2 linked regions of the Macaca fascicularis genome follow. The protein of the gene in region 2 purifies or fractionates together with the protein of the main gene of each other region. This does not show direct contact. Links are inferred from orthologs where the notes say so. Each region holds a gene or a part of one and is shown on either strand. Other genes may lie near its edges. The genes, in order: EMB and SLC16A11.

Region 1 (3,812 bases), on a different chromosome or scaffold from region 2:
GAATAGACCAATAGCAGGCTCTGAAATTGAGGCAATAATTAATAGCCTACCGACCAAAAAGAGTCCAGGACCAGATGGATTCACAGCCGAATTCTACCAGAGGTACAATGAGGAGCTGGTACCATTCCTTCTGAAACTATTGCAATCAATAGAAAAAGTGGGAATCCTCCTAACTCATTTTATGAGGCCAACATCATCCCGATACCAAAGCCTGGCAGAGACACAACAAAAAAAGAGAATTTTAGAGCAATATCCCTGATGATCATCGATGCAAAAATCCTCAATAAAATACTGGCAAACCGAATCCAGCAGCACATCAAAAAGCTTATCCACCATGATCAAGTGGGCTTCATCCCTGGGATGCAAGGCAGATCAACATACGCAAATAAATAAATGTAATCCAGCATATAAACAGAACCAAAGACAAAAACCACATGATTATCTCAATAGATGCAGAAAGGGCCTTTGACAAAACTCAACAGCCCTTCTTGCTAAAAACTCTCAATAAATTCGGTATTGATGGAACGTATCTCAAAATAATAAGAGCTATTTATGACAAACCCACAGCCAATATCATATTTAATGGGCAAAAACTGGAAGTATTCCCTTTGAAAACTGGCACAAGACAGGTATGCCCTCTCTCACCACTCCTATTCAACACAGTGTTGGAAGTTCTGGCTAGGGCAATCAGGTAAGAGAAAGAAATAAAGGGTATTCAATTAAGAAATGAATAAGTCAAATTGTCCCTGTTTGCAGATGACATGATTGTATATTTAGAAAACCCCATCATCTCAGCCCAAAATCTCCTTAAGCTGATAAGCAACTTCAGCAAAGTCTCAGGACACAAAATCAATGTGCAAAAATCACAAGCATCTTATACACCGATAAGAGTCAAACAGAGAGCCAAACCATGAATGAACTTCCATTCACAATTGCTTCAAAGAGAATAAAATACCTAGGAATCCAACTTACAAGGGATGTGAAGGACCTCTTCAAGGTGAACTACAAACCACTGCTCAGTGAAATAAAAGAGGACACGAACAAATGGAAGAACATACCATGCTCATGGATAGGAAGAATCAATATTGTGAAAATGGCCACATTGCCCAAGATAATTTATAGATTCAATGCCATCCCCATCAAGCTACCAATGACTTTCTTCACAGAATTGGAAACAAATGCTTTCAAGTTCATATGGGACCAAAAAAGAGCCCGCATTGCCAAGACAATCCTAAGCTAAAAGATCAAAGCTGGAGGCATCACGCTACCTAACTTCAAACTATACTACAAAGCTACAGTAACCAAAACAGCATGGTACTGGTCCAAAACGGAGATATAGACCAATGGAACAGAACAGAGCCCTCAAAATAATACCACACATCTGCAGCCATCTGATCTTTGACAAACCTGACAAAAACAAGAAATGGGGAAAGGATTCCCCATTTAATAAATGGTGCTGGGAAAATTGACTAGCCATAAGTAGAAAGCTGAAACTGGATCCTTTCCTTACTCCTTATACAAAAATTAATTCAAGATGGATTAGAGACTTAAATATTAGACCTAAAACCATAAAAACCCTAGAAGAAAACCTAGGTAATACCATTCAGGACATAGGCACGGGCAAGGACTTCATGTCTAAAACACCAAAAGCAACGGCAACAAAATCCAACACTGACAAATGGGATCTAATTAAAGTAAAGAGCTTCTGCACAGCAAAAGAAACTACCATCAGAGTGAACAGGCAACCTACAGAATGGGAGAAAATTTTTGCAATCTGCTCATCTGACTAAGGGCTAATAACCAGAACCTACAAAGAACTCAATCAAATTTACAAGAAAAAAACAAACAACCCCATCAAAAAGTGAGCAAAGTATTTGAACAGACACTTCTCAAAAGAAGACATTTATACAGCCAACAGACACATGAAAAAATGCTCATCATCACTCACCATCAGAGAAATGCAAATCAAAACCACAATTTCAAATCAAAACCATCATTCTCAGCAAATATCGCAAGAACAGAAAACCAAACACCGCATGTTCTCACTCATAGGTGGGAACTGAACAATGACAACACTTTGCCACAGGAAGGGGAGCATCACACACAGGGGCCTATTCTGGGGTAGGGGTAGGGGAGAGGGATAGCATTAGGAGATATACCTAATGTAAATGACGAGTTAATGGGTGCAGCACACTAAGACGGCATGTGTATACATATGTAACAAACCTGCACGTTGTGCACATGTACCCTAGAACTTAAAGTATAATAATAATAAAAAAAAATCCCATGTCATGGAGCTATGGATATAGAACATCCACCCACGCTCTCAGAGGCTGATACCACAATAACTTAGAAATGTGGAGGACTATTATAAAAACTATGAATTTAGAGGTGTAAATAAAGAAATTCATGTGACTCTCATAATTCACTCATAATGTGGTAGGCTATCCTTTTGAACTAAAACCTGTGCTTTAAGCTGAGGAACAGAAGCAGAAAGGAAATTGACTTGGGGATACAAGACCATTTTCAAGGTTACCTCTTGTGACTCTGGAAAGCATATGACTTACTTTCAGCTATATTATGTTTATTATTGTAAAAATAATTTTAAAATTACAGGATTGAGAAATCTAAGAACATAGTGCTGAAGTTATTAACTATTCCTCAAGCTATTAATACTGACCTTTGAAATTAAATGTTCCCCTTTGTTCCTTTTCCTCTCGAAAGAAACAAGAATAACTTCCCATTTGTTTGCTATTAATGATGGTGAACCTAAAGATAATTGAAGTTATTAATATAGGCTTAGTTCTCAAAACCTTCTTAATGAAAATGAAAAGACTTAGCCATTAATCAAAATTTTAAAATAGAAATAATTTTGTAAATATGCAAATTAGAATATTAGCATAACATTCAAGTGGCTGCAGAGGGAAGAATGCTCAGTCAGCAAAAATATTTAGAATTAAGCTACTTTTGGCAAACAAGGTAGGTTAAAATTTGTATACTCACCTGTATTGGGTATACAAGGTGCTTCCTGTTGCACTGACAAGATAATTATTCTCAAGTTGTTCACTGTCTTTTTTCCAAGTCACATTTACTGCATTCAAATCCCCAGATGTCGTGAACTGGCATGTGAGATTTACATTAGAAGGCCTTTCTAAAGTGATATTTTTTTCTACTGGCATACTAGAATGTTCTATTAGCACAAAAGAGGACAAAATGTGAAAGTTATATTCAGAGGAATCTAATATATAAAACCTTTTAAATTATTAACTGAAGTGTTTTATTGACAATTTCATTCATTTGAAGAATTATTCCTCTATCAACATAGTTGGTTCCCTTTCTTATTCCCTTTTATATGCACACCTAAAGAAATGTTTTGATCCAACATTAACACAATTTAAAAAAACCTAAAGCTGTGATAGTTATCTCCTTAAGCTCTGTAATAAGCAGAATATAGGGTACAGAGTACTCAATAACATGTGCTGTATGCTCTGACAGTGTAAAAACAGCACAACTGTAAATACAACACACTCATGGGTGAGAATGGAATGCCTGTTTCAATAATTTTGAGTAATCATGTTGTTGGTAGTTATTACGAGAATGTTTTTTGTATAACATGGATTTGAGTGATATATTATATTCTAACCATTCCTAGTCTTCTTAAGAACCTGTAGGGACTGGATATAGACATAGGTACAGGACAGAGAATTTAAATAAGCATCCTGTAGTTCTGAATTTGAACTGAATTTCAGTATCAGTATGAATTCATAAGGTGTTTATCTTTTTTTTGACTTTCAAAATAGATATCTTATTTA
Region 2 (3,912 bases):
ATTCTAACCTAAGTGTTTAGAGATTCTGATCTCAAGAATCCTTTCTATTCCCAGTGACCCCTTATTTTAGAATCCTGTGTTTTCTGTCCCTGCAATGGTTCCGCCCTTTCCAGGGCAGTTTGCATCAAGCTGTATCCAGGATATTTCTCTTAACTGTGCCAGATTTTGTTTCAGTTCCAGGATTGTTCTCCCTGTAGGTCCCACAGTTGGACAGACCTAAATTCAAATATTCACACCATTTTTTCCCTGTGAGCTTCAGTTACTGCATCTATAAAAGAGGCACGACACCAGCCGGGCGCGGTGGCTGACTCCTGTAATCCTAGCACTTTGGGAGGCCAAGGTGGTGGATCACCTGAGGTCATGAGTTCCAGACCAGTCTGGCCATGGCGAAACCCCATCTCTACTAAAAAATACAAAAATTAGCCAGGAGTGGTGGCATGTGCCTGTAATCCCAGCTTCTTGGGAGGCTGAGGCAGGAGAATCGCTTGAACCCAGGAGGCAGAGGTTGTGGTGAGCCAAGATCTCGCCACTGCACTCCAGCCTAGGCTACAGAGTGAGACTCCATCTAAAAAAAAATAAATGAATAAAAGAGAGCAACAACTTCTTCATAGGGTTATTATAAGATGAAATGATAGCATGTGTAAACAGTGCCTGGCACATCACAGGTCTTCACTTTGAGAGAGTCCTGTTTCACCCTCTATCCTTGGGGGCCTGTTATTTTATTTATTTATTTATTCATTTATTTTTGAGACAGACTCTTGCTCTGTTGCCCAGGCTGGAGTGCAGTGGCATGATCTTGGCTTACTGCAACTTCTGCCTCCTGGGTTCAAGAGATTCCCCTGCCTCAGCCTCCAGAGTAGCTAGGAATACAGGCTCGTGCCACCATGCCTGGCCAATTTCTTTGTTTTTTTAGTAGAGATGGTGTTTCGCCACGTTGGCCAGGCTGGTCTCGAACTCCTGACCTCAGGTGACCCACCCATATCGGCCTTCCAAAGTGCTGGTATTATAGGCGTGCACCGTGCCCGGCCTGGGGGTCTGCTATTCTAAGCACAGCTCTGGCACTCAGTGGAAGTCTGTGATCTGATATCCGAGGTCTACCTGGTCCTAAGCAATGTTCCTGAAAACAAAACTACTCATCCCCTCAGGCTTTTGGGACCATCCATATTTCCCCGCGTTGGCGGTGGACCCCGGGCTCGGGCTCGCTGGGGTTTGCAATCCACGTGTCTCCCCTGCGCGCAGCAGGCAGCAGGTGCATGGGTGTGAGCAGGGCAGGGCCCCTCGGCATTCATTCCTCTCCACTCCCTCCCCGGGGCTGGGGGTTGTGTGTGTACATAATTCAATCCCCGTGGGACTGGTGTCTGGCCTCACCCGCGGCTTGGCTGATTGGTTGTTTCAGCTCGCCCCCGCCCTCCGTACCCCCGGCGTCCCAGGTGGCTTGGGCCCCTGTGGTGATCTCTGTTTACCGAGAGAGCTTGTCCAAGTTGGGCTCCATCGCTGCTCTCGCTCCCCTTCGGGGCCCCCGCCCGCCTGGGAAGCGGAGAGAAAGCCGGGCCCAGCCCTTCCTCGCCCTTCCCCTCCCCGCACAGCCCGGAGAGGTCGGGTAAGGGGGAAGGAGTGTACGTGGGACGGGGAGCCCCGGGCCTGGGGGATCTGGCTGTCCCCGTCCCGGTACCTCGCGCGGACCCGGGAGTTCCAGCCCTAGGCCTGGCTCCGGCTCCCTCTGCTCTGCGCCATCGCGCTCGGGGTGACCCGCCCACCCCGGGGGAGCAGCCGGAGGCTGGATCTCAGGGATGCCAGCTCCCCAGCGGAAGCACAGGCGTGGAGGCTTCTCTCACAGGTGTTTGCCCACCCCCGCAGACGGCGATGACCCCCCAGCCCGCCGGACCCCCGGACGGGGGCTGGGGCTGGGTGGTGGCGGCCGCAGCCTTCGCAGTGAACGGGCTGTCCTACGGGCTGCTGCGCTCGCTGGGCCTTGCCTTCCCTGACCTTGCCGAGCACTTTGACCGAAGCGCCCAGGACACTGCGTGGATCAGCGCCCTGGCCCTGGCGGTGCAGCAGGCAGCCAGTGAGGCGGGCTCTGAGGCGAGAGACGGGAACGGGGAGGAGGGGCTGTGAGTGGAGGGATGGGAGACCCCCCTGATTACCCGACAACCTGAGAAAGGACGACCGGCTCTAGAAAAGAGTGCATCTTAAGGTCAAGGAGAGGAACCATTAGTTCGAGGGAGGTAAACAGCCAATGAGAGGTGTTGGAGAGAGTTTGGGGGCCCGGGGGCGTGTCTTTTATTGACTCCGCCCCCTTCCAGGCCCGGTGGGCAGCGCCCTGAGCACGCGCTGGGGAGCCCGCCCGGTGGTGATGGTTGGGGGTGTCCTCGCCTCGCTGGGCTTCGTCTTCTCGGCTTTCGCCCGCAGTCTGCTGCACCTCTACCTCGGCCTGGGCCTCCTCGCTGGTGAGGGAAGGGGGATGCCCGGGTCATTCAGGGTGAACTGGGGACAGGAGCTTATGGGACTGGGGTAGCGAACGAGGCGAGGGCCTGGTGCGGAGAGCAGGACTGGGAATGCTGGCGAGGGCGTCCCCAGTGCCGGCCCACATCCCCTCCCATTCATTCGCAGGCTCTGGTTGGGCCCTGGTGTTCGCCCCTGCCCTAGGCACCCTCTCGCGTTACTTCTCCCGCCGTCGAGTCTTGGCGGTGGGGCTGGCGCTCACTGGCAACGGGGCCTCCTCGCTGCTCCTGGCGCCTGCCTTGCAGCTTCTCCTCGATACTTTCGGCTGGCGGGGCGCTCTGCTCCTTCTCGGCGCGATCACCCTCCACCTCACCCCTTGTGGTGCCCTGCTGCTACCCCTGGCCCTTCCTGGCGACCCCCCAGCCCCACCGCGTAGTCCCTTAGCTGCCCTCGGCCTGGGACTCTTCACACGCCGGGCCTTCTCGATCTTTGCTCTAGGCACAGCCCTGGTTGGGGGCGGGTACTTCGTTCCTTACGTGCACTTGGCCCCCCACGCTTTAGACCGGGGCCTGGGGGGATACGGGGCAGCGCTGGTGGTGGCCGTGGCTGCGGTGGGTGATGCGGGCGCCCGGCTGGTCTGCGGGTGGCTGGCAGACCAAGGCTGGGTGCCTCTCCCGCGGCTGCTGGCCGTATTCGGGGCTCTGACTGGGCTGGGGCTGTGGGTAGTGGGACTGGTGCCCGTGGTGGGGGGCGAAGAGAGTTGGGGGGGTCCCCTGCTGGCCGCGGCTGTGGCCTATGGGCTGAGCGCGGGCAGTTACGCCCCGCTGGTTTTCGGTGTGCTCCCCGGGCTGGTGGGCATCGGAAGTGTGGTGCAGGCCACGGGACTGGTGATGATGCTGATGAGCCTCGGAGGGCTCCTGGGCCCTCCCCTATCAGGTAAGGACCTGAGCTCGCAGATCTGCCTACAACTATCCTCTGCCCCTGGGGTTAGGGTCTTCTAAATTCCCTTACCCATCTCCTCAGGCTTCCTAAGGGATGAGACAGGAGACTTCACCACCTCTTTCCTCGTGTCTGGCTCTTTGATCCTCTCCGGCAGCTTCATCTACATAGGGTTGCCCAAGGCGCTGCCCTCCTGTGGTCCAGCCTCCCCTCCAGCCACGCCTCCCCCAGAGAGGGGGGAGCTGCTTCCCGCTCCCCAGGCAGTCTTGCTGTCCCCAGGAGGCCCTCGCTCCACTCTGGACACCACTTGTTGATTATTTTCCTGTTTGAGCCCCTCCCCCAATAAAGAATTTTTATTGGGTTTTCCTGAAACCTCCAACTGTTCACCCATCTAGGACCCTGAAAATATTCTACTTAAGACAGCCAGAAAGGCTGGTTCAAAGGAACAGGATCCCAGGAGGCCCTGGGTATGAAGAAGGGCGACTGTCTGTCCAGGCAACCCATTTCTCTTTGCCCAAGTCCTGGCCGGAA

What was found.
Region 1: the proteins of SLC16A11 (region 2) and EMB purify together in Homo sapiens (co-immunoprecipitation; 3 studies listed by BioGRID and IntAct, counting the BioPlex papers as one, with this or other methods). This does not show direct contact. The link is inferred for Macaca fascicularis from reciprocal best matches to the Homo sapiens genes SLC16A11 and EMB.

What each region holds. Positions count from the first base shown.
Region 1 is NC_088380.1:55,705,119-55,708,930, forward strand, and holds part of EMB (embigin), read right to left. Parts: intron 3,191-3,812; coding exon 3,004-3,190; intron 2,770-3,003; coding exon 2,681-2,769; intron 1-2,680. UniProt on the Homo sapiens protein: Plays a role in the outgrowth of motoneurons and in the formation of neuromuscular junctions.
Region 2 is NC_088390.1:7,078,622-7,082,533, reverse strand, and holds SLC16A11 (monocarboxylate transporter 11), read left to right. Parts: upstream 1-1,457; 5' UTR 1,458-1,614; exon of another isoform or gene 1,615-1,702; 5' UTR 1,703-1,863; coding exon 1,864-2,065; intron 2,066-2,303; coding exon 2,304-2,447; intron 2,448-2,610; coding exon 2,611-3,378; intron 3,379-3,465; coding exon 3,466-3,695; 3' UTR 3,696-3,753; downstream 3,754-3,912. UniProt on the Homo sapiens protein: Proton-linked monocarboxylate transporter. It catalyzes the transport of pyruvate across the plasma membrane.